Ovis aries: one gene and its partners. The protein of the gene in region 1 interacts with the protein of each later gene in a pairwise test. Links are inferred from orthologs where the notes say so. Each region holds a gene or a part of one and is shown in the gene's direction. Other genes may lie near its edges. The genes, in order: TRIP6, NEU4, PRKAA2, OIP5, FRS3, GSE1 and SIK3.

What was found.
Region 2: the proteins of TRIP6 (region 1) and NEU4 interact in binary tests that used the Homo sapiens proteins (3 or more experiments, as listed by UniProt). The two-hybrid records come from large-scale screens. The link is inferred for Ovis aries from reciprocal best matches to the Homo sapiens genes TRIP6 and NEU4.
Region 3: the proteins of TRIP6 (region 1) and PRKAA2 interact in binary tests that used the Homo sapiens proteins (3 or more experiments, as listed by UniProt). The link is inferred for Ovis aries from reciprocal best matches to the Homo sapiens genes TRIP6 and PRKAA2.
Region 4: the proteins of TRIP6 (region 1) and OIP5 interact in binary tests that used the Homo sapiens proteins (3 or more experiments, as listed by UniProt). The two-hybrid records come from large-scale screens. The link is inferred for Ovis aries from reciprocal best matches to the Homo sapiens genes TRIP6 and OIP5.
Region 5: the proteins of TRIP6 (region 1) and FRS3 interact in binary tests that used the Homo sapiens proteins (3 or more experiments, as listed by UniProt). The two-hybrid records come from large-scale screens. The link is inferred for Ovis aries from reciprocal best matches to the Homo sapiens genes TRIP6 and FRS3.
Region 6: the proteins of TRIP6 (region 1) and GSE1 interact in binary tests that used the Homo sapiens proteins (3 or more experiments, as listed by UniProt). The link is inferred for Ovis aries from reciprocal best matches to the Homo sapiens genes TRIP6 and GSE1.
Region 7: the proteins of TRIP6 (region 1) and SIK3 interact in binary tests that used the Homo sapiens proteins (3 or more experiments, as listed by UniProt). The two-hybrid records come from large-scale screens. The link is inferred for Ovis aries from reciprocal best matches to the Homo sapiens genes TRIP6 and SIK3.

The regions. Positions count from the first base shown.
Region 1 is NC_056077.1:36,218,563-36,222,851, reverse strand, and holds the start of TRIP6 (thyroid receptor-interacting protein 6), read left to right. Parts: upstream 1-1,489; 5' UTR 1,490-1,607; coding exon 1,608-1,716; intron 1,717-1,967; coding exon 1,968-2,095; intron 2,096-2,185; coding exon 2,186-2,311; intron 2,312-2,564; coding exon 2,565-2,951; intron 2,952-3,271; coding exon 3,272-3,365; intron 3,366-3,472; coding exon 3,473-3,642; intron 3,643-4,289. Other genes in the region: SLC12A9 (solute carrier family 12 member 9), read left to right, coding at 1-709. UniProt on the Homo sapiens protein: Relays signals from the cell surface to the nucleus to weaken adherens junction and promote actin cytoskeleton reorganization and cell invasiveness. Involved in lysophosphatidic acid-induced cell adhesion and migration.
Region 2 is NC_056054.1:175,575-177,598, reverse strand, and holds the end of NEU4 (sialidase-4), read left to right. Parts: intron 1-486; coding exon 487-1,454; 3' UTR 1,455-1,524; downstream 1,525-2,024. UniProt on the Homo sapiens protein: Exo-alpha-sialidase that catalyzes the hydrolytic cleavage of the terminal sialic acid (N-acetylneuraminic acid, Neu5Ac) of a glycan moiety in the catabolism of glycolipids, glycoproteins and oligosacharides.
Region 3 is NC_056054.1:31,252,211-31,255,710, forward strand, and holds part of PRKAA2 (5'-AMP-activated protein kinase catalytic subunit alpha-2), read left to right. Parts: intron 1-2,626; coding exon 2,627-3,131; intron 3,132-3,500. UniProt on the Homo sapiens protein: Catalytic subunit of AMP-activated protein kinase (AMPK), an energy sensor protein kinase that plays a key role in regulating cellular energy metabolism.
Region 4 is NC_056060.1:34,990,849-34,994,348, reverse strand, and holds part of OIP5 (protein Mis18-beta), read left to right. Parts: intron 1-78; coding exon 79-201; intron 202-2,379; coding exon 2,380-2,461; intron 2,462-3,500. UniProt on the Homo sapiens protein: Required for recruitment of CENPA to centromeres and normal chromosome segregation during mitosis.
Region 5 is NC_056073.1:15,624,630-15,628,576, reverse strand, and holds the start of FRS3 (fibroblast growth factor receptor substrate 3), read left to right. Parts: upstream 1-1,147; 5' UTR 1,148-3,947. UniProt on the Homo sapiens protein: Adapter protein that links FGF and NGF receptors to downstream signaling pathways. Involved in the activation of MAP kinases. Down-regulates ERK2 signaling by interfering with the phosphorylation and nuclear translocation of ERK2.
Region 6 is NC_056067.1:11,173,734-11,177,233, forward strand, and holds part of GSE1 (genetic suppressor element 1), read left to right. Parts: intron 1-1,419; coding exon 1,420-1,595; intron 1,596-2,006; coding exon 2,007-2,204; intron 2,205-2,703; coding exon 2,704-2,895; intron 2,896-3,251; coding exon 3,252-3,500.
Region 7 is NC_056068.1:27,259,059-27,262,558, reverse strand, and holds part of SIK3 (serine/threonine-protein kinase SIK3), read left to right. Parts: coding exon 1-90; intron 91-357; coding exon 358-443; intron 444-861; coding exon 862-971; intron 972-1,996; coding exon 1,997-2,336; intron 2,337-3,108; coding exon 3,109-3,500. UniProt on the Homo sapiens protein: Positive regulator of mTOR signaling that functions by triggering the degradation of DEPTOR, an mTOR inhibitor. Involved in the dynamic regulation of mTOR signaling in chondrocyte differentiation during skeletogenesis.

The DNA.
Region 1 (4,289 bases):
TCCCCAGGACTACGTGGCCACCGTGGCAGACGCCCTGAAGATGAACAAGAACGTGGTCCTGGCCCGGGCCTGTGGGGCCCTGCCTCCCGAGCGGCTGAGCCGGGGGTCTGGGGGCACCTCCCAGCTGCACCACGTGGACGTGTGGCCCCTCAACCTGCTGCGGCCACGGGGTGGGCCCGGCTACGTGGACGTGTGCGGCCTCTTCCTGCTGCAGATGGCGACCATCTTGGGCATGGTGCCTGCCTGGCACAGTGCCCGCCTCCGGATCTTCTTGTGCTTGGGGCCTCGGGAGGCCCCGGGGGCGGCCGAGGGGCGGCTGCGGGCACTGCTGAGCCAGTTGAGGATCCGAGCCGAGGTGCGGGAGGTGGTGTGGGGCGAGGGGGCTGCCTCCGAGGAGCCGGAGGAGGAGGAGGAAGGGGACTTTGTGAACGGCAGGCGGGGAGACGCTGAGGCAGAGGCCCTGGCATGCAGCGCCAACGCCCTGGTTCGGGCCCAGCAGGGGCGTGGTAGAGGAGGGCCTGGTGGGCCTGAGGAAGGGGGCGGCGAGGTGGGGCCCACCACTGCCCTCACCTTCTTGTACCTGCCGCGGCCGCCTGCTGATTCTGCCCGCTACCTGCGCTACCTGGCGCTTCTGGAAATTCTGAGCCGCGATCTGGGCCCCGCGCTGCTCATTCACGGTGTCACTCCTGTTACTTGCACTGATCTCTGAGGCCCATGCCAAGCAGAGAGAGCATCCAGGTCCGGCGGCCCACCGTGAGAGGAGGGTGAGAAGGGGAAGGGCTGTCTTGTGCCAGCCTCGCACGTGGGACTCAGCCCCTGGTGGACGTATTAGGGCATCCTGGTCTCCTGGCCCTGGGTGCAGTTACTAACGCAGGGCAGCTGTCCCCACCACCTTCCTGGGGAAGGAGTCCACAGCCCTCCCTTCGGGCCTCCCTCCCTTCACCCGTGCCTTGCCGGGGGCTGGGTCTCCGCTTGTGACTCTAGGCTACCTCAGTCTCCGCCCCCCACCTCGCCCAACAGACCCCCCCACCCCCGACCCCTGAGGTTGTGATGTTTTTGTTCTTTTATTTTTCTAACTGCTCAATGTGAATAAAAGATCAAAACACTAAATACCGGCTGAGCATTTCTGGAAGCAGAGGGGAGGGGGTGGGTACGTGGGATGGAAAGAGGGAGAAATCTGTATGGGGGATGGGGACAGAGGGGCGTTGGAGAGACTCCGAGCAGGGAGGGGGCCACGTGTGGGACCTGGGGCGCCGGCCTGGGGGTGGGGGGGTGCTGGTGGAGATGCAGGCTGCCGGCAGCCTGAAGACTCGAGGCTCCCGGGGCTCCCGAGGAAAGCGCTCCCTGCTCGCAGGAGGGGGCCTGACTCGGGGAGGGACGGCAGTTTAGGGCCTAGGGGGCCACGTGACCCTCCCCCAGGAATGCGATGATGTCACCGGGGGCGTGGCCATCCCCAAAATTAGGGAGGAAGGGGAAAAAAAAAAAAGCCAGAAAAAGTTTCTTTCCTGGAGTCCCAAGCAAGGTGTGGGACGGAAGAAGGGATCCAAGTCAGAGCCCCGGGGCTCCGTGGGGCCCGACCGGCTGTCTGGAGTCCCCCTTTCCAGACCATGTCCGGGCCCACCTGGCTCCCCCCGAAGCAGCTGGAGCCTGCTCGAGCCCCTCAGGGGAGAGCGCTCCCCCGAGGGGCCTCGGGGCCACCCCCGGCCCACGGATCAGGTAAGGCAGCCCCAGTGAGGCCCAGAGGCCCCCGGGCCACCAGCGCTCTCGGCTCTGCCTTGCGCCGTCCACGCCCCACTGAGCAGGCCCCTGCTGCCCCTTCCCCTCCCAGCCCTCCCTGCCCCTGGCCCTATTCTCGGACCCCAGGTGCAGGGTGAGGGGCGAAGAGGGACCCAAGACGGTGGCCTCCACGGGCGTCGTCACCCTGACCTTCCTCATCCCCACCTTGGCTCTCTCTTCCCTCACCCCAGCGCTCCAGCCCCACCCCCGGGTCAATTTTTGCCCCCTCCCATCCGAGCAGTGTTACCAGACCCCCGGGGGACCAGAGGACCGGGGGCTGGCCTGGGTGGGGTGCCATGGAGCACCCCAGCACTCGCAGGTGAGCACAGGCGCTGGGGGATGGGGCGATTCAGGGCAGGAGGGGAGACCGTGGGATTGCATTTCTCCTTGCTTTTTGCTCCTTCCCCAGGGCCTCCCCCCAGACAGGGGGGGCTTGCGCCCGGGAAGTCTGGATGCTGAGATAGACTCCCTGACCAGCATGCTGGCTGAGTTGGACGGGGGTCGAGGTCACGCCCCGAGGCGATCTGACCGGCAGGTGACTCCCCTGTCCTGCCCCTGCCCCTTCCGATCCTTGACCCCGCCCCTCCCCTGTTCCCTACTCTGAATCCACCCCCCCATTCCCAACGCCCCCCACCCGCCCACAAGCCCCATGTGAGGGATGCTTACTCCGGGCCCTTGTCAAAGCTGGTTCTTGCCTGGGTGCCTCAAGGGGTCGGGGGAGGGGGGTTCCTACAGATGGGTGTCCTGGAAATGGGCCCAGCTCACTCCTGCTCTTCGTCTCTCCCCAGGCTTACGAGCCCCCTGAGCCCCCTGCCTACCGCTCAGGCTCAGGCCCGTTGAGGCCGAATGGAGGGGCGCTTCCTCCCCCGCCGCTCCCAGGGTCCCCCTACGGGGGCCCCACTCCGGCCTCCTATGCTACAGCCAGCACCCCCGCCGGCCCGGCCTTTCCTGTGCAAGTGAAAGTGGCACAGCCTGTGAGAGGCTGCGGCCCTCCCAGGCGGGGGGCCTCTCAGGCCTCCGGGCACTCCCCGGGCCCCCACTTTCCTCTTCCAGGCCGAGGTGAAGTCTGGGGGACTGGCTACAGGAGCCACCGCGAGCCAGGGCCGGGGGTTAAGGAGGAGGCCCCGGGGGTCTCCGGCCCTGCAGGTGCAAGAGGAGGCGGCTACGGGTCCCAGGTACGCCCTGGGCCCTGGGATTTCGGGTCCATCAAAGACAACTGGATGCTGACTGGGTGGGGTGTAGGGGAAGGAGTGTTAATGTTGGAGGTCTGGGATGTTGGGGCTCTGGATCCCCTGTGGATGTGGGGCAGGTCAGGACTAAAAGACGGAGGGGCCTAGATCTACACCCTGGCTGCCAGAGGGGCTCCCCCGGCCCCTGGGCTGGGACTTGTTCTGTGATAAGCTTTCTGGGTAGAACGGTCTGGTCACCCTGGGGACCCTCAGTGACAGCACTGGGAGCTAGAGGTAGGGTCAAACCTCTGAGTCTCACCTCCCAGGTGCCCCTCAGCCAGCCTCCCGAGGAGGAACTTGAGAGACTGACCAAGAAGCTGGTGCACGACATGAACCACCCGCCCAGTGGGGAGTACTTTGGTGAGCTGACCCCCGACCTCAGGGAGGTGGGACTGCAGAGTCAGATGGACAGCGGATCTGGCTTCCCGGCCTGTGAGGGGGTTGACCCTGTCCCTTCCTGTCCCCAGGCCGCTGTGGTGGCTGCGGAGAAGACGTGGTCGGGGATGGGGCCGGGGTCGTGGCCCTGGATCGCGTCTTCCATGTAGGCTGCTTTGTGTGTTCTACGTGCCGGGCCCAGCTCCGGGGCCAGCATTTCTACGCTGTGGAGAGGAGGGCTTATTGTGAGAGCTGCTATGTGGTGAGTGGTTGGGGCCCAGGAGGGCTTCCATGCAATTAGAATGAGTTGGAAACTAGAGGAATAGGGCTTGAAGCAGGGGAACTGACATTGATAAACGAGAAGAAGGGATGAATGAAGTAAGGAGCTCCACACTGGCTGCTGGAAAAGAAGGACGATATTCCCTCATACGTGTGAAGCATTTATTTATCTTTGGCTGCGCTGGGACTTTGTTGCTGCCAGCCGGCTTTCTCTAGCTGCGGTGCGTGGGCTTCTCATTGCGGTGGCTTCTCTTGTTGCAGACCACGGGCTCTAGAGTGTAGGCTCAGTAGTTGTGGTGCATGGGGTTAGTTGTTCTGAGGCGAATGGGATCTTCCCAGACCAGGGATCGAACTCATGTCCCCTGCCTTGCGGGGCAGATTCTTAACCACTGGACTGCCAGTGAAGTCCCAGGCATTTATTTTAGATTTATAGGAAGGTGCTAAATTCTCACAATATCCCAGTGAAGCAGCTACTGCTGCTGAAGGAAAATGAAGCTCAGAGAGGTTAAATAACTTGTCCAGGAAGCTGCAGTGCTGGGGTCAGTACTCAGATCTGTTCAAGGTCACCTTTCACTGAATCCCATGCAGGGGGCTACAGAAATAAGATGGATGGGCTGGCCGGATGCCTGT
Region 2 (2,024 bases), on another chromosome or scaffold:
CTGTGGGTTCCCTGAGGGCTGACCACCCACTGCCCTCTGGGGCCAACCTGCCCTTGGCTTGTGGGTGCTGACCCAGAGGTCACTCACACTCTGGCAGGTGGGAGCTCTCTGCTGGTGTGGACCCCACCCCAGGGGACTCGATCCCATTGTTAGGAGGGGCTGCTCAGACCTTTCAGCCCTCAGCTGCCCCTCTGCCTGGGCATACTGGGTCACCGGGCACCACCAGTGGCCATGCATCCGTGCTCGGGGACCGGCTGAGAGCCCAGCCCGGGGCCGCCTCGGCTTGCAGCTCCTGCTGACGACCCGAGAGGCTTGTCCAGCCTGGGGGAGGGGCCCGGAGGAGCGGAGGGTGGGGGCTTCCTCCCGAGCTGTCCCCTAATGAGGGGCCCTGGCCCCCGACCCTCCCCGTCCCGCGGGGTGGTGGTGCCGCCTGCCTGCGGCCACAGCTGCCCCCTCCTGGGTGACCCGGGCCCCTCCTTCCTGCAGACTGGGCCACGTTTGCCGTGGGGCCCGGCCACGGTGTGCAGTTGCGCTCTGGCCGTCTGCTGGTGCCGGCCTACACCTACCACGTGGTCCGGCGGGAGTGCTTCGGCCGGATCTGCAGGACCCGCCCCCAGTCCTTCGCCTTCTACAGCGACGACCACGGCCGCACCTGGCAGCGTGGGGGCCTCGTGCCCAGCCTGCGCTCGGGCGAGTGCCAGCTGGCCGCGGTGGACGGCGGGCGGGCCGGCGGCGTCCTCTACTGCAACGCTCGGAGCCCCCTGGGCAGCCGCGTGCAGGCCCTCAGCGTCGACGAGGGCACCTCCTTCCTGCCCGGGGAGCTGGTGCCTGCCCTGGCCGAGACTGCCCGGGGCTGTCAGGGCAGCATCGTGGGCTTCCCGGCCCCGCCCGCCAGTGGGTGGGGGGATGAGGGGCGGTCCGCGGGCACCAGCAACCCCCTCTGCCTTCCACGCCTCTGTCCTGGGGCCGGGGAGGCCCCAGAGGAGGGCACTGGAGACACCGGTGGGGGCGGGGGCCTGGGTGGGATGGAGGGCTGTGGCGACGGCCCCGGGGAGCCTGGTGAGAACTGGGGCTCCTGGGCCTCAGCGCTCCCGGGACCCCCTGCAGCCTTGTCGCAGAGCCCCACGTGGTTGCTCTACTCCCACCCGGTGGGGCGCAGGGCTCGGCTCCACATGGGCATCCGCCTGAGCCGGTCCCCGCTGGACCCCCACAGCTGGACGGAGCCCTGGGTCATTCACCAGGGCCCCAGTGGCTACTCGGACCTGGCGTCCATCGGGCCTGCCCCTGGGGGCGCGCCGACCTTCGCCTGTCTGTTCGAGAGTGGGGCCAGGGTCTCCTACGAGGAGATCTCTTTCTGCCTGTTTTCCCTGCAGGAGGTCCTGGAGAACGTGAGGCGGGGCAGGGTGCACCCCGGGCCTGGAGACAAGCCTGCGGGGCGCTGCCAGCCCTCCTGATGAACCCCTGGCTGGGTTCGGCCCTGGTGCCCAGCAGGGGCAGGGCGGAGGGCAGGGCGGTGGGCGCTGGGAGGCGGAGGGCAGGGCGGTGGGCGCTGGGAGGCGGAGGGCAGGGCGGTGGGCGCTGGGAGGTGGAGGGCAGGGCGGTGGGCGCTGGGAGGCGGAGGGCAGGGCGGAGGGCAGGGCGGTGGGCGCTGGGAGGCGGAGGGCAGGGCGGAGGGCAGGGCGGTGGGCGCTGGGAGGCGGAGGGCAGGGCGGAGGGCAGGGCGGAGGGCAGGGCGGTGGGCCCTGGGAGGCGGTGGGCGCTGGGAGGCGGGGGCACAGGTCCCGTGGGCAGGGGGCTGCCCCCGGGTGACCCGCGCAGGCCCCCTCCCAAGGCTGTCCGCGGGCTGGGGGCCTGGGGTGGGAGGGGGCACGGGGATCCTAGTGGAGCACACGGGGCTCGGTTGTCGGTACGGCCTTCCTCTAGCCTTGCTTGGCTCACGACTTTCTGGCTTATGAGCGAGAAATAAAGGGATTCTGCGTCACTTTCCACTTTCACGCATTGGAGAAGGAAATGGCAACCCACTC
Region 3 (3,500 bases), on another chromosome or scaffold:
CCCTCTCCAGCATTTATTGCTTGCAGATTTTTGGATCGCATCCATTCTGACTGGTGTGAAGTGGTACCTCATTGTGGTTTTGATTTGCATTTCTCTAATAATGAGTGATGTTGAGCATCTTTTCATGTGTTTGTTAGCCATCCGTAGGTCTTCTTTGGAGAAATGTCTATTTAGTTCTTTGGCCCATTTTTTGATTGGGTCGTTTATTTTTCTGGAATTGAGTTGCATAAGTTGCTTGTATATTTTTGAGATTAGTTGTTTGTCAGTTGTTTCATTTGCTATTATTTTCTCCCATTCAGAAGGCTGTCTTTTCACCTTGCTTATATTTTCCTTTGTTGTGTAGAAGCTTTTAATTTTAATTATATCCCATTTGTTTATTTTTGCTTTTATTTCCAGAATTCTGGGAGGTGGATCATAGAGGATCCTGCTGTGATTTATGTCGGAGTGTTTTGCCTATGTTCTCCTCTAAGAGTTTTATAGTTTCTGGTCTTACATTTAGATCTTTTAATCCATTTTGAGTTTATTTTCATGTGCGGAGTTAGAAAGTGATCTAATTTCATTCTTTTACAAGTGGTTGACCAGTTTTCCCAGCACCACTTGTTAAAGAGATTGTCTTTACTCCATTGTATATTCTTGCCTCCTTTGTCAAAGATAAGCTGTCCATAGGTGTGTGGATTTATCTCTGGGCTTTCTATTTTGTTCCATTGATCTATATTTCTGTCTTTGTGCCAGTACTATACTGTCTTGATGACTGTGGCTTTGTAGTAGAGCCTGAAGTCAGGCAAGTTGATTCCTCCAGTTCCATTCATCTTTCTCAAGATTGCTTTGGCTATTCGAGGTTTTTTGTATTTCCATACAAATCTTGAAATTATTTGTTCTAGTTCTGTGAAAAATATCACTGGTAGCTTGATAGGGATTGCATTGAATTTGTAAATTGCTTTGGGTAGTATACTCATTTTCACTATATTAATTCTTCTGATCCACGAACATGGTATATTTCTCCATCTATTAGTGTCCTCTTTGATTTCTTTCATCAGTGTTTTATAGTTTTCTATATATAGGTCTTTAGTTTCTTTAGGTAGATATATTCCTAAGTATTTTATTCTTTTTGTTGCAATGGTGAATAGAATTGTTTCCTTAATTTCTTTTTCTACTTTCTCATTATTAGTGTATAGGAATGCAAGGGATTTCTGTGTGTTGATTTTATATCCTGCAACTTTACTATATTCATTGATTAGCTCTAGTAATTTTCTGGTGGAGTCTTTAGGGTTTTCTATGTAGAGGATCATGTCATCTGCAAATAATGAGAGTTTTACTTCTTCTTTTCCAATTTGGATTTCTTTTATTTCTTTTTCTGTTCTGATTGCTATGGCCAAAACTTCCAGAACTATGTTGAATAGTAGTGGTGAAAGTGGGCACCCTTGTCTTGTTCCTGACTTTAGGGGAAATGCTTTCAATTTTTCACCATTGAGGATAATGTTTGCTGTGGGTTTGTCATATATAGCTTTTATTATCTTGAGGTATGTTCCTTCTATTCCTGCGTTCTGGAGCGTTTTTATCATAAATGGATGTTGAATTTTGTCAAAGGCCTTCTCTGCATCTATTGAGATAATCATATGGCTTTTATTTTTCAATTTGTTAATGTGATGAATTACATTGATTGATTTGCGGATATTGAAGAATCCTTGCATCCCTGGGATAAAGCCCACTTGGTCATGGTGTATGATCTTTTTAATGTGTTGCTGGATTCTAATTGCTAGAATTTTTTGAGGATATTTTACATTTTTCAAATCCTGTTTATCAGAGACAGCAGCTAGGTTTTCATACCTACTTCTTCATTCATCTATTGCAATATGTTGTATTAGTTGAAGTCTAGGAAACATATCTGATCTCAGATATTGCTAGAACAGGGAGGAACATTCTCATAGTCTTTCACATAGTTAGATATTTTCCTTTGATATTAAATCAAAGCTTAATATGTTAATTGCAATATCAAATCAGAAAACATACCAGTGAACTTTTGTACTTTATTACACTGAAATCCACAGGTCTGTTTTGCCTTTTGAGTGGAGCTTCTGCCCGTGTATGATTATGTAACATCTTGCATTGGTCATATGGAAAATATTGGGTTAGTGAGATAGCCTGGTGGTCAGAATGATAACACATTTCATTATAAACTATCAAATCATAGTCATTATCCTCTTCACTCTAAAAGTAGAAAAGTCTCTTAAATATTGAGAAGCTGTCAAACTTATGGAAACATATATAAATTATTCTGTTATATACAATTCTATATATATATAGAATTCTGTTATAAGCCGAATTCTAACATTTTACTTGAAAGCTTGAATTTCATCACTGGCACCAAATACTGCCAGTTGTTTCCTTTGAAGTGACAGACTTATTTTATCTCTTTTTGTGAAAATATCAGTAAAATACCCAAGTCTGAATAATCATAGTTACTCTAGAGCAAGGGTTAGTGAACTTACCTAAGGGTCCCATAGTTAGTAAGTGACTAGAGACCCAGGTCTTTCTGATTCTGATATATTGTATTGCCCCATGTCTAAATTATTTGGGACTTGCCAAAGCATGTTCTTACAATAGTGTATTGTGGTATCTTTCCTAGAGAGCATGAATGGTTTAAACAAGATTTGCCCAGTTACTTATTTCCTGAAGACCCCTCCTATGATGCTAACGTCATTGATGATGAGGCTGTGAAAGAAGTGTGTGAAAAATTTGAGTGTACAGAATCAGAAGTAATGAACAGTTTATATAGTGGTGACCCTCAAGACCAGCTTGCAGTGGCTTATCATCTTATCATTGACAATCGGAGAATAATGAACCAAGCCAGTGAGTTCTACCTCGCCTCTAGTCCCCCTACCGGTTCTTTTATGGATGATAGTACCATGCATATTCCCCCAGGCCTGAAACCTCATCCAGAAAGGATGCCACCTCTTATAGCAGACAGCCCCAAAGCACGATGTCCACTGGATGCACTGAATACAACTAAGCCCAAATCTTTAGCTGTGAAAAAAGCCAAGTGGCATCTTGGAATCCGAAGTCAAAGCAAACCGTATGACATTATGGCTGAAGTTTACCGAGCTATGAAGCAGCTGGATTTTGAATGGAAGGTAGGAAATTGTAGTATATGAAGATCATTTGTAGAAGCCATTTTCCGTATAGTAAGCCTGTCTGAGGTGCTGAATTGAATACTAAAATCAATAAAAAGTTGGTTTTGATGTGAATTTAGTGGTCTCAATAAATAAATGGGCTGATAAATCCTATTCTTTCCAATAATGTACCATATGCATTCAAAACAAAACAAATCTTCATAAGGATGAAGAACTGTTGATGTTGGGTACCTATATATTTTTGAATTAGAGAATAGCATTCTTGGCTGAGAAACATGGTTTTAATCAACTTGAAATCCCTTGAGAAAATAGTCCACCTGTTTTAGCATGTATCATAACAGAAGTCATGTGTCTTCAAAAATATATATT
Region 4 (3,500 bases), on another chromosome or scaffold:
AATGAGTCCAGAGACGTTATTTTGTATTTGTTCCCTGATTTTCTTTCTTACTCATATCCTGTTTTTTTTTCCCTCCAGCACTTACAACCTTTTATTATGTAGTTCCTGTGAGATTCCCATTGGTTTCCACCTATATTCTACCCGTACTGCCCTGGCTGCCTTGAGAGGCCACTTCTGCCTTTCCAGTGACAAAATGGTGTGGTAAGTAGACTTAGATTTTCTTCAGCAAATAAACTTTAGAACATTTTCCAGAAAAGGCAGAATGTTTGTATTAGAGAAGATGCTAAAGCCAGGTGCTATACTGCTCTTACAAAAAAGATGGCAATGGGACCGAAATAAGTCTCATAATACATGACTATTATAAATGTCTCATAATACTACTACGTATTAATAATCATACTGTGAGGATATTCTTTCATTCCAGGAACTTTTGGAAGGTAAGTTTTTGCAAACTAATGCTGTGATAGACACTTTTCAAGTTCGTGCCCAGCCTCTGTTTGCCTCCTACAGTGCAGGACCTTGTGGCTATATCTGTATCCTATGTGATGCTACTCCCAGGTGATGGGATCAGAAACAGACCTGACCTAAGCTAGGTCAGTCAGGATTTCTAACCCTAATAATTTGAAATAAAAGCATAAAGACATTGGTCATCTGTAGATGGTGTAGGTGCTGCAATGGGGAAGTGAAAGCTCTTGGTTTGAGGTAGATATTTTATATGTTGTGTGTATAAATGCAGAGAAATTTTGTCTGCAGAAAAAGAATGAAGCAGATAAAGTAAAAAATAATTATCATGTGGCCTTATAAAGTCAGAAAAAGTTCCCTATTGGTTGTTCCTTCTTATGAATTACTTTAGATATTTCTTATATTTCTAATTATAAATTCTACTTTTTGTTAAGCTTTTCTGTTATTTCAACAAATTGAAACATCTGTCAAAGTCTTTTCATTATCATTAGAAACAAAAATAGCCAGTGAGGTGCTATGCTTCCCTCAATGTGTTTTTAAGAAAACAGGCTTGCAAATGTGGAGGAGCTGAGATTTGAGTGTATGTCTTAACTCCAAAGCCTGTTTTTCCATTCATAAAACAGAAGTGTACTTCTTCTCTTTTTTTAATGTGCTTTGATAAACCCCTTTATCATGAGGTTGTTCAGTGTAGATTTTTAACAGGAAATATGTTCTTGAGATGGATTGGGATTTCATTTTCTTTCATTCTTAAAATAATTTTTATTTATTTAGAATTAGGTTTAAAGATATGAGGAAAAGTATCTCTAAATATATGCTATTAATAACCTCAAATCTTTTTTAGAAATAGTTATAAGGAATTACTTTAGCACAGTTATAATTGAGTTTTTGCTTAGGGAAGTAACCTTTTAGTAACAAAAAAATTTTAATATAAATTTGAAAAAACATTATTTTAAGTAATGTCTTACGTTTTTAAAATGAGGAACTGGACTCAAAGGTCAATACATTCTTTTTGATTAAGTGGAAGTCAGGAAGACACAACATTGGTAATCAGCTATAGTCCAATATAACATAAAAATAATGAAAATTTTTTAAAAAGAAATTAGGAAAGTACAGTAGCCTGAGTCTGGGACTATGATACGTCTATGTCTGTGGGTATTGGAATGAATTTGGTTGCTAGTAACAGAAAACGTAAGAGTGGCTTTAAGAACAGGGTGGGACAGTTGGCTACTCCAGGATTGTCCTAGTAGCTCAGCCATGACAGAGCTGTGGGTTAGTATCGCTGGTTCTCATGGCTTTTTCTCTTGGATGCTGCAGGTTTTAAGCATCACATCTCTAAAGAGCAGCATCCAGAACTGGAAGGAAAAGGATATGGAAAGTGTGGGAATGCAGGGAATAGGTCCCTTAAGCTGGGAAAGCAACTGTGTGACAGTAGGGAATAAGATTTTCACAGTTAGCCTAGAACAGTTATGATTCATCTCTTAGGACTGGGCACACTGCTGCCCTAAACAAAATCTGGGTTCTGTTAGCAAGAAAGCCTTGAGGAATGGCTGTTGGGTAGGCAACCAGCAGTATTTGTCACAATGTGATAACTTTCCTTCTAACTGTGCTGTAGTCTACTGGTGGTCTGTGAGGCCTACACTCATTACAGTTATTCATGTGACCCTGGTTTTCTGGCTTTAGTTTGTCCTGGGATCATTTTGACTAGTGGATTCCGGGCTGGAAAAGGGTGAGATGAGGCATAGTGTCTCTCTGGTGACTTGGTAATTGAGAATGTTTTTCCTGTGAAATACATTATAAATCAAGAAATGGGTATCAGGAAGAAGGCAATCTTTGCTTGATAGGTATTACAAGTTTGTTTCCTTAATCATCATAACTGTGGTATGGTACTAATGTTTTCTCTTTACACTTTCTATCTAGCTACCTCTTAAAAACGAAAGCCATAGTAAATGCATCTGAGATGGATCTCCACATCGTCCCTCTACCAGAAAAGGTTGCAGAGGTAAATTTTCATGATGGTTGTGTGTTTTCTTTAATATAGACAGTTCCTGATAATCTGTACCCATGAACTTAGGGATAGTGAAATGGTGGATACACTAATAATTCTTTGTACTTGGTTTGGCCTTCCTTATTGAATCTGTGATACAAAGCAAAATAGTGAAGCCGTATTGTCAGATTTGGTTCAGGAGGAGATGGAGAGCTGCTGAGCTTCACATTCCTATTCTTCCTTTCTGTGCTGGGTGTGGACTGTCATCCTTCATAAATCTGACTTCTTTGCAAGTACCTTACACTTAGATATCTCGGAGGAAAGAGTGTTGAAAACCGTTATTAAGGATTCTTATTTAAATGGGTTTTACTAGTGTTTGATGGTTTTGAGTTGAAGAAAGCAGGTTTGTTTTGGTAGCTTGCTGACTTATTCTGAATAGAATTTGGCTATTATTTTACTACCCTCAGAAGAACCACCTTAGAATTTACTGTTGGTTTTGTTTTTAGCACTCTTAATAGTTTATTCCTTGGTAATTATACATTTAGTAACCAGGGCATTTATTTTTCAGAGTTTAAGTACTTTCTAGGATAGGAGAACAGTGTTTTGTTTTTTCTTTTTTGCACGGTTAATTAAGCTTATGAAAGAAACCATGTTCTATCCAGGAATTGGCCAACTTTTCTGTAAAAGAGCAGATGACAAATATCTTAAGCTCAACCATGAAGTCTCTACTTTTCAATTCTGCTATTGTAGTGCAAAAGCAGCCATAGACAATATATAAAATATGGATATAGTTTTCTTGGAATAAAACTTTATTAAAACAGATGGGCAGCAGGTTACCCCACAGTCCATAGTTTGCCAAACCTTGTTCTGAGCAACTAAGTTGGTCAGCAGGATCAGTAAATACTGTAATTAGAAATAATCTGTATGGGAGAGAACTTCTGAAATGGCCTGAGTAACTCCATGGACCCCCCTCTGCAACAAAACTGCCAAAATTGAAGCAAATGACAAATAAAATAGCTACCTTAAGTCTGTGGAAATTTTCTTCAAGGAATAA
Region 5 (3,947 bases), on another chromosome or scaffold:
GTAAACGGGCTCAGGAGTTCTACTTTCCTGAAGGGCAGAGGCCAGGGATTGGGAAGTTGAGGGGTGGGGTGTAAGGGATGAAAGATTTCCCCGGACAGTGAGAGGAAGAAAGGTTCGAGAAGTTTCTGGTACTGCCAAGTGCCCTCTTGACAGATCCCCAGGTTTTTTCTTGGCTTTCTCAGGGCCCACCTCCGAAGCGGGAAGCGGTGTGGTTCTCAAGTCAGTTGGAGTGCCCAGTGCGGCTGCTGGAGTTTAGGAGAGGGGACGGGACTTCGCCGGGGTCTCACCCTTGCTGAGCGCTGGTGTCCGGGCAGCTCTGCACAGACGCCGCTGTCGGGCCCCTCACCCAGTCTCCACCTCCAGGTCTAGGCGCCCGCCTCTGCCCGCCCCCGAGAGCGCGGCCCTTCCTCTCCCAGCACCCCCACTCCCCGCCCCGCGGGCCCCGTCCGCCTCTCCGGGGCTGGTAGGGCCCGACGGCTCGGGGAGGGGCCTAGAGCCGCTAAGTGAAGGAAAGCATTTGAGGGATATCGGGTGAAAACGGTGCAGGCTCCACTGCTCCCACGCCCGTGGGCTTAGTCCTGGGACCGCATCTCTGCGGGCGCTGAGCAGACACCCAGGAGACATCGTTATGCCGGGTTCTCAAGCACTCGCTGAACAAAACGCCTTTCGAAGCCTGCAGGTCCCCCCAGACCTTCTTCTGGTCTCCTAGACCCGCCCTTGTCTGTGTGTCCCCACCCCCACCTAGTTCCCTCCCCCTTGTCCCCAGCCCCTTTCTGGGGTCCCTTGTACGACCCTTCCCCGTCCCATCCCTTCAAGTTCCTCCCCCATCTTTCGTGTTTCTCCCCGGTCCCGCCCTGGCTCCGGTCCTTTTTCTCATCCCTGGAGTGGAAACCTTTGGTCCCACCTCTGGTCCCCTCGGCCCCGCCCTGAGCCCCGCCCCCGCCCCAGGCTCCGCCCCGTCCCCGCTAGGCTAGCTCTGCCGCTGGCCCGGAGCGCCCTCTGGTGTCTGCGCATGCTCCCTGCTCGCTACCGCAAAGTCCTCCAAAGGGACCTTCTAGGCTGCGCGCCGGTCGCCCCCGATCGGGTCCGCCTGCCCGCAGCGTCTCGTTGGTGCAGCCGATGACCTCCGACCCCGCCGCCGCGGGGCGGGGAGGCCTTAGCTCCGGGCGGGCGGCGGCTGCTGCAGTGGGACCCGGGAGCGGGGCCCGGCGCCGCCCGGGCCGTGGGGCGATGTGAGTCGGGGTGCGGCGGGGCGGGGACGAAGCGGCTCCACCGAGGCCGCACCGCGCCTCGCCGCAGTCTCCGCTCCCTCCCGAGGAAGTCCCGGGAGGGCGGGCGGTGGAGCCCCGGGGCTGGGGGCGGGCATCTAGGGACTACGCGCGGCCCTGACCTCCCCTATTCCTTCCCGGCATCTAGAAATTCCCGTCAATTCTGTTACCTAAATCTGCCTCTAACCTCCCAGAACCACCCCATCCCCACCCCCGACACACCTTCTCGTGTCCTGGAGTCCCGAGAACCCCGGTCTCCTGCAAATTCCCCTGCTACGCCCCCAGAACCACCATTCTCTCTGGGATGAACCCAGATGCTTCCGCCGTCCTGAAATTCCTCCGAGTCTTCATGCTTCTCCATTCTCCTTGCACCGTGCTCAAATCCAAAGCATCTGTCCACCTTTCCCCAATCCCTCTCAGACGTTTTGAGTCTCCATAACCTCAAACTCCTACTCCCAGTCCACATCTGTCTCAGAGCAGAGCCTTCTCCTCCTGTCACCCGATGTCACCCCCTTAGCTGGGCTGTCATATGTTCTGGTATCTTTAAGAGCAGTGAAGGAAACAGGAAAAGATACAGCGCCCTCTCCCATCTTGCACCCTGCAGTTCTTGGCTTCACCCCCACACTCCCTGTTGGTGGCTCAAGCCCCAGTATTTACCCAGCTGCCCGTCTTTACCCAGCTGTGCACATCTTCCTCAGCCCGCTGCCCCTTCCAGAGAGTAAGCCAGACAGAGGGTAGGGGTCCTTTTACCTGGAAAGTACCCAAAGATGCAGAGCACATGGGGCCCTGGGAAATGACCTTGTTTTTCCAGAGCAGGAGGGTGGGATTTCAAGGATCTCCAGGGTCCTGGCTTGTTGACTTGTCCACCTAGGGCTCAGATTACTGAAATTTTGGTTGATAGCATTTCTGTTAAATTATAGGCCTTTTGGAGCTTGGAGAACAGAAAGTCTATCAAGGTTCCAAATGTGAAATTGAAGGAGCTTGTCCTAGAAGAGGAAAATGTTGATTTTAGTGGTGTTTGTCCTATGTACTTACTTCTAGAGGTGAAGCTCCATATTTTACAGCTGTTTCCTGTAAAAAACTGGAAAGCTATTTCCCTTAAAGGCGTTGGGGTGGGAGTTGTGGGTGGCGATGGAGGGTCTGCTTGACAGACTCTCTGTGATACTTAGCAGCAACATAGAATATTGGTTTCCTGAATCTTAAGCCATTGCTCTTTCCAATACATCTTCGTGTCCTCTTGAGAGATCTCTCTGTAGAGTTCAAGTTCTCTGCAAAGGTAAGGTGATGATCTTGGTATTGGTTGTAACAGGATTCAGAGGGGGTCTAGAAGTGACTTAAAATGTTCTGGCCTGTCTCGGACTTCAAAGTCACTGTTTCCAGGGTAGTCTTTCCCTCTCAGGGCCTATGGGGCTTAGAATTTGTGGTCCCTTTGGCCTTGATCTTTCTTCATTGGCTTTTATATACCATTATAGCCTGGAACGGATATCCCAGTGGGGTGGACTGACAGCAAGTCAGTTTCATCAACCATTGAGGGGTGAGGATAGAAGTTTTCCACTAACCTGTGGTCTCTGTCTCCTATGCTAGGTGAGCCCCAGGTGTGTCCCAGGGAGATCCAGGTGACTTCTCTGCAGACTGCTTGCCATGCCACCCCACCAAGAACAGGGGGAATAAAGTGGGGGTCCTTCCCCATGCCCCTCCCATGGTCAGCTCTCCAATGGCCTGGGTGAGGTGAGACCCGTGTATAGGAGCCACTTTTCTAGAATTTCCCAAGTTGGGAGGAATTGAGGGTGCAGGTCAGGATTGTTCAAGACTTTACACTTTGAATGGGAGTTCTAGAAAGTATCTAGTCCCACCGATTCCTTTCTTGCAGCAAGTTGCAAACCCATAATTTCTGGTTGGGATTGGTCCATGGGTTTGCTTGGTCCCTTAGGTCACTGTAGCCTGGTGGTGTCATCGCCATTCCAGCCACAGTCCCAAATGTTGTGACATACAATTTGAGTCCCATAATCCGGGAGGGAAAAGCCGGGTAGTAAGGCCTCTGGTCTCCCATTTGGACAAAAGGGAACAAACCGAGTGTTTTTTAAATGAAGAAATGCCTACTCAAGGTTATGAAAATAGTGCTCTGTTTTCAATTTCAATTGCCTGAATATATCTCTTAACCATAACATAACATCTCATTTGAAGAGAACATCAAAAATAAATTTGAGATAGATGTTATAACCTCAGATATGCAGATGACGCCACCCTTATGGCAGAAAGCGAAGAGGAACTAAAAAGCCTCTTGATAAAAGTGAAAGAGGAGAATGAAAAAGCTAGCTTAAAACTCAGCATTCAAAAAACTAAGATCGTGGTGTCCAGTCCCATCACTTCATGGCAAATAGATAGGGAAACAGTGAAAACAGTGAGAGACTCTATTTTTTTGGGCTCCAAAATCACTGCAGATGGTGACTGCAGCCATGAAATTAAAAGACGCTTGCTCCTTGGAAGAAAAGCCATGACCAACCTAGACAGCATACTCAAAAGCAGAGACATTACTTTGCCAACAAAGGTCCATCTAGTCAAGGCTATGCTTTTTCCAGTAGTCATATATGGATGTGAGAGTTGGATCATAAAGAAAGCTGAGCACCAAAGAATTGATGCTTTTGAACTGTGGCGTTGGAGAAGACTCTTGAGAGTCCC
Region 6 (3,500 bases), on another chromosome or scaffold:
GCCCAGACCCCGGGCACAGGGTTCAAGGCCTCACCCCTCTCGTTCTGGCTGTGCCCCGTGCCAGTGGCGGGGGTGTGAAGGGCTGCAGCTGTATGTGCAGGACCCGCGTCCTGTGCACGTCCAGCAGGCGGGGGCCCCTGGGCAGGGTCAGTCATGGGGGCCCATCCAGGGCCTTGGGGACTGGAGGGGAGTGCTGGCTTCCTGCCCTGACTTGCGTGGGGGGCTCGCCCTCGACCCCCCAAGCCTGGTGAAGCCCGCCTGGGAAAGAGGGTGTCGGAGTTCACGCCCTGTGAGGGGCGGCCTGCCATTCGGGGTGGGAGCACGGGCGGCCTGGCCACGGCATGGCCCGCCGCTGCCGTCTTCTGGGGCCCAGGAGGTGCCACAGCCGCCTGCCCGGGTGTTCCGTAGACACGGTGATGGGTGGGCCCCTCCTCTCTCCGGGAGCTGTGTGGTCCCTCCTGTGCCCCCCGCATGGGGAGCGAGGTGACCTGAGGCTCTGCCGCCCCCATCTTCTGACTCCAGTGGGGGAGATGCCAGGCAGACAGCGGAGGGTGTCTCCCTGACCCGCTGCGTCCTGCTCTCCTGTTGCTAACTGGGGTGGCTGGGCCAGGCTTGACGCCAGGTGAGGAGGGCACCATGCGGCCTGGCGAGGGAGGGCCTGGCGCGTGGAGCTCTCGGGTCGGGGAGGCCAGGCAGCCGCGTCCTCCTTGGCCGTGTGGCGACGGGACCCTGGGCCAGTGGCTGTTAACGCTCCATGCCTGCCGCTTGCTCCCTTCCGGCCGTGTCAGCGACCGGAGTGACCGAGCCTCTCCACGGCCTGCCAGTCTGCAGCCGGACATTCCTGCGGGTGGGCCTGCAGGGTGTTCCTCTGTGTGGCCGGGGCTGGTGGGGCAACGCCTTTCCCTTCCTGCCTTGCATGAGCCCCTTCTGGTTTCCTGGGGTCTCCCCGCCACTGAACCCTCCAGGCCCCAGGTCCCTCTCTTGGACAGGAGTCTGGGCAGGCGGGCCCACAGCCCCCACCAGTGAGCAGAGGTCCCCCGACAGGTCTGGCCCCACAGCTGCCTGCTCTGGCCAGAGCCAGGGCCGACCAGGGTCTGTCTGGGGGGAACAGGCTGGCCTGTTTGGCCCGAGGCAGCGCCAGCTGCTCAGCCACATCTTCCGGGGGCACTGAGGCCCAGTGATCTGTGAGGCAGGCCAGCAGCTGCCACCTGGGCCCCTGGGACGCCGGCATGATCGGGTGATCGGGTGGGCGGTGGGCAGGGACTCAGCGGCTGTCACCCCCACCGTGGCGTGGAGACTGTTGCAAGAATGTCTCCCTGAAGCTTGACTGCTCTTGTGTGTCCGGAGGAAGGCCTGGCCCACTGCCGGTGGCCGAGCTACAAGCTGCCCCTCGGCCCTGACCTGCACTCTCTTCTCCAGCAGGATGCTAGCTCCCGGGGCGGCAGCAGTGGCCGCGAGCGCCTCATCGTGGAGCCCCCGCTGCCCCAGGAGAAGGCGGGGGGCCCGGCCATCCCCTCGCACCTGCTCAGCACCCCCTACCCCTTCGGCATCTCACCCAGCTCGGTGGTGCAGGACTCCCGCTTCCCACCGCTGAAGTAAGTGTGGGCTGGGGGTTGGGCACGGTGTGGGGTGGGACCCCCAAGGTTCTGGCTGCCGCGAGTCGATACCAGCTGAGCCCGAGAGCTGCCCGGTGGTGGCCGCGCCCTGGGCTGGCAGCCCTGCTGGCCGTTGCCACTTGTGCCCGCGGCGGGCTCTCTGCCTGCCTGACCCTAACCCCCCAGCCTGGCTCCTAGGGCCGGAGGTGGGGGGTGGTCTCCCCACGCTGCAGGTCACAGACCCGTGCCCTCTGGTGAGGGGTCAGGCCGGCCCGAGGAGCGGCAGCTGCCCACCTCTGGGCCCTGGGCCTCCGGCAGGGACTGCCATTTCGAGGAGGGAGGTGGTGGCGGGGGGCTGGGCGGTGGCCCAGGGGCCCGGAGCTCACCTCCGCCGCCCCCTCCCGCCCGCAGCCTGCAGCGGCCTGTGCACCACGTGGTACCCCCCAGCACGGTGACTGAGGACTACCTGAGGAGCTTCCGGCCCTACCACACGGCCGAGGACCTCCGCGTGTCCTCCCTGCCCCCGCTCGGCCTGGACCCGGCCACCGCCGCAGCCTACTATCACCCCAGCTACCTGGCCCCGCACCCCTTCCCGCACCCGGCCTTCAGGTGAGGCGTCCGGACGTCCCCAGCCACCCGCGGGCAGACCCCGGTCTGAGACCAGGTTCCCCGACGGGGGGACTGTGGGGTGGGCCGCTCCCCCAGCCTCTGGATGCGCCGTCCAGAGCTTACTCCTGGAGGGAGACTCTCGCGCCAGCTGGCCTCCCTGGCTCCTCCACTTCCACTCAGGATTCCCCAGGCGCGCGTGACTGTTAGTGCCCGGAGCAGACGGCGCTATGCCTCCACTCTGTGTAGGAGCTTCCCAGGTCAGATGGTCAGACCTGGAGGGGCCCCACTGGGCCTGGCCCAGCTGAGCTGAGGGGTGGCCGGCGGGGCCTTGTGGCCTCTGGGAGTGCAGGGCTTTGGGGCTGGCTGTGGAAGGGGGCTCTCCGGGACCTTTGTGGAGGCCCTGTCCGCCGCTCCCGCATTAGTACCTGTGCCTGGGGGGGAGCTGGGTCCTGCCTTCCTCTCCACCGTGGCCGCTCACCGGCCCCCTCTGCCCCCACAGGATGGACGACTCCTACTGCCTGTCAGCCCTGCGGTCCCCCTTCTACCCCATCCCTGCCCCCGGCTCCCTGCCCCCGCTGCACCCGTCGGCCATGCACCTCCACCTCTCGGGTGTCCGCTACCCGCCTGAGCTCTCCCACTCATCCCTGGCGGCGCTGCACTCAGAGCGGATGTCCAGCCTGAGCGCCGAGAGGTAAGCGAGCCCCGTTCGAGAGCGTGGCTGGGCCAGCTGTGCTTGGACAGCCACCCCTGCCCTCGGCCTGCTTGTCTGCAGAAGGGGCACTGCCGGGAGCTCCCAGCTGCTGTCTGGAGGCCATGTCCTCACAATCGCTGGCTGCGGCCGGGAGCTTTCCAGGCTCCTGGAGAGTCTCTGTCCACGGCTTTCAGTCTCCAGTGGACGCTGAGTTTTTTCTTGGCGTGTTAGCCAAAGCAGAACCTGGCCCGCGGCCCGTTCCCATTGGGGCGGGGAGAACCCCGGGCTCACGTGTGAGCGCCTCGCTCCTGGGGGTTCTCCCGCCACGGAGGTCACATCCCTGTCCTTACCTCCAGGCTGCAGGTGGACGAGGAGCTGAGGCGAGAGAGGGAGCGCGAGCGCGAGCGGGAGGCCGACCGCGAGCGCGAGAAGGAGCGGGAGCGTGAACGCGAGAAGGAGCGCGAGCGCGAAAAGGAGCTGGAGCGCGAGAAGGAGCGTGAACTGGAGCGCCAGCGGGAGCAGCGCGCCCGCGAGAAGGAGCTGCTGGCCGCCAAGGCACTGGAGCCGGCCTTCCTGCCCGTGGCCGAGCTGCACGCGCTGCGGAG
Region 7 (3,500 bases), on another chromosome or scaffold:
ATTGATGAAAGAACCCTGGAGAAGACCCAGCAGCAGCATATGTTATACCAGCAGGAGCAGCACCACCAAATTCTCCAGCAGCAGATTCAAGTAGGCCTTCCCTCTCCGCTTTCTCCAACTTGTCTGGAGTTTGCTCGCAGGCCAATGGGCCTGTCGGTGCTGGAGGAGATCACGCAGGGCAGAGTGGAGTTGAGTTATTTGTGTGGTTGCCATGTTTGAGTCCAGGTAATCAAGCCTTTCGATGAACGGCGGGAGCATAAGTCTCAGTCGCAGATAGTCTCTTCCCGTCCCGAGAATGGCCCTGGTTAGTCTTCAAGCTCACGAGCATTTTTCTCTCCTTTCTTGCACGTATTTTAGGACTCTATCTGTGCTCCTCAGCCTTCTCCACCTCTTCAGGCTGCATGTGAAAATCAGCCCGCCCTCCTCACCCACCAGCTCCAGAGGTAATGAAACATGTTCTTTGCCTAAGCTGTTGGCCTAACTCACATGACTGACTATAGCAGTCACCCTGGAAAAACCCATCTGAAAAGCAGGAAGACCAATTTAAATTTCGGCAGCTTTCTAAAATCCTGACTTCCTGTGCCACTTCATTTTCTTATCCCCATGAACCATGTAATCTGACACCTAATGCAGGAGGCCAGATGCAGGCCCACAGTGACCCCTGCCTCCTTGGGACATCTGGGAAAATAAGATGTAGACAGGCTTTCAGTAGACTGTGATGGGTGGCCTTCTAGCCTGGAAGCTTATCAAAACTAAAAGTGGAGTTTCTGCCTGTGGGTATCAAATGGCTGAAACTAACTTCAAGGTTATATCGTCACCTCAGGAAGTGTATTTACTCATCTGGTTCTGTTGTTTTTTAAGGTTAAGGATTCAGCCTTCCAGCCCACCTCCCAACCATCCCAACAACCATCTCTTCAGACAGCCCAGTAACAGCCCTCCCCCCATGAGCAGCGCCATGATACAGTCTCACGGTGAGTGCAGAGGTTTTCTCTGAGCCGTGAGCTGCAGGAGAAGTGAGGCTTCGTCTTGATTGCCCCAAGCCACTGGTTGGGGTGACGGAGCAACATGCTGTGTAAGGGAGTGGCTCTAGTGCCAGGCTGCCTTGGCTTGGCTCCTGCTGCTGCCAGCTCCTTAGCTGTGAGACCACAGGTAGACCACTGAACTTCAGGGCATCTCTGCTTCCTCAAATGTAAGACAGGGATAATACGACTATGAGATACATATGTTAGGTATAATACTTAAAATAGCCCCTGGAACAATATAGTTCTCAAATAGTGGTTGACTGGTATTGATGTTTTCATAACATATGTTTCATCAACATACAGTTGATGTCCCTTCCAACTGTACCAAACGAATGGGCTACTACCAGAACCGTCCCTCTTGTCACGCCTGAGTTTGGTGGTCCTCTGGGCACATGGCTCCTCTCTTGTGGGTGTTCAGATGGAGGCAAAGATGAGCGGGCCCTAATTTATACGGTCCTTCAGAGGCCAGCATTCTGAGGGGTTAGTGTTCCGAAAACTGAGAATCTCTTTAAGTAACGCCACTCAGTCTAGAGCCCCTGAAGAGCCTGAGTTGGACTCAAAGCCCTTCTTACTCAGAGTGGGGTCCCTGACCAGCAACATCAGCAGGAAAAATCAAATCTCAGATCCTGTTGCAGACGTGCTGGAACAGAATCTGTGTTTTAGCAAGATCCCCAGGCCCTTCATACGTGCATTAGAGTTTGAGAAGCGTTGCCCTGAATGAGAGCTGCTCAGAGAATGATCAACGGGCAGTTTCCTGGAATTGCAAATTCTTGGAGCCCCATCCTTACCTACTGAGTCAGCTTCTGAGGGTTGGGCCCCGGAGTGTGTGTCTTCACAGATCCCCCAGAGGAAGCTTCCATGCCCTGGAGTCGGAGGAGCCCTGCCCTGGGTGGTGTGCGAGCTGAGCATCCTCAGTGGCCCCTGGCCGCAGGTAACCCGGGCATGTGGTCACTCTGGGGCTCCTTTCTCCCCAGGTGCTACATCGTCCTCCCAGTTTCAAGGCTTCCCCTCCCGCAGTGCCGTCTTCCAGCAGCAGCCTGAGAACCGCTCCCCTCCTGCCAACGTGGCACTGACCTGCCTGGGCATACAGCAGCCCCCCCAGTCACAGCAGGTGCCCGTCCAAGTCCAGGAGCCTGTCGACATGCTCAGCAGCATGCCTGGGGCCGCTGCCACCCCTGCAGGCCGGGGCGCCTCCATCAGCCCCAACACCAGTCAGGTTCAGATGCAGCTCCGGACCAGCCTGATGGCCGCCCTCAGCTACGGGCACCGGCCCTTGTCCAAGCAGCTGAGCGCCGACAGTGCGGAGGCCCACAGGTGAGGCTGCCCGGAGTCTCCCGGCCATCTCTCCGGGGGACCCAGGTGGGAGGAAGCCCCTTAGTAGGAGGAGGGGAGAACAGAAGGGCTCTGACTGGGCTGTGCTCATTTCAGCCTGACTAAAAATGAGGCCGTGGGCTTGGGATGGACTTGAAACCTATATATTGACTCAAGATCAAAATGCTAGTGAGATGCAGGAGGATAATGACGCAGCTACCTTACCATATAGGCTTCCCAGGTGGTGCAGTGATAACCTGCTTGCCGATGCAGGAGGTGCAAGAGATGTGGGTTTGATCTTGGGTCAGGAAGATTCCCCTGGAGGAGGAAACGGCAACCCACTCCAGTACTATTGCCTGGGGAATCCCATGGACAGAGGAGCCTGGTGGCCTATAGTCCATAGGGTCACAAAAAAATCAGACACGACTTAGCAACTAAACACCACTACCACCTGACTATAGGTCTGCAAAGAAGAAAAGGGCCAGTTAGAGGAGTAGGTAAAAATTTCAGTTACCCCCCTTCTCTGTTCTTCTAGGATTATTTCTTTCCATCACTCATATTCTAAGAGATGGGCACATCTTAATTCAAGTGATGTTGCTACCCTCAAGCCCAAGGGGGTGGTGGGGGTAATGCCTACGCCCCCATCCTCCCTGTGGCCCTGTGGTTCTCTGTACCAGCAGAGACTCGCTGCTGAGGAGGACTGGTAGCCGTTCCCCGGGGAGTTTGGCCACTTGTCACACGGATGCCTGGTACTCACTCCCTTTTGTGTCTGCAGCTTGAACGTGAATCGGTTCTCCCCTGCTAACTACGACCAGGCGCATATACACCCCCACCTGTTTTCGGACCAGTCCCGGGGTTCCCCCAGCAGCTACAACCCTTCACCAGGAGCGGGGTTACCTCCCACCCAAGCCCTGAAAGTCCCTCCGCTTGACCAGTTCCCCACCTTCCCTCCCAGTGCACATCAGCAGCCACCGCACTATACCACATCGGCACTGCAGCAGGCCCTGCTGTCCCCCACGCCGCCAGACTACACGCGACACCAGCAGGTGCCCCACATCCTCCAGGGACTGCTCTCCCCCCGGCACTCACTCACCGGCCACTCGGACATGCGGCTGCCCCCGGCGGAGTTTGCACAGCTCATCAAAAGGCAGCAGCGGCAGCGGCAGC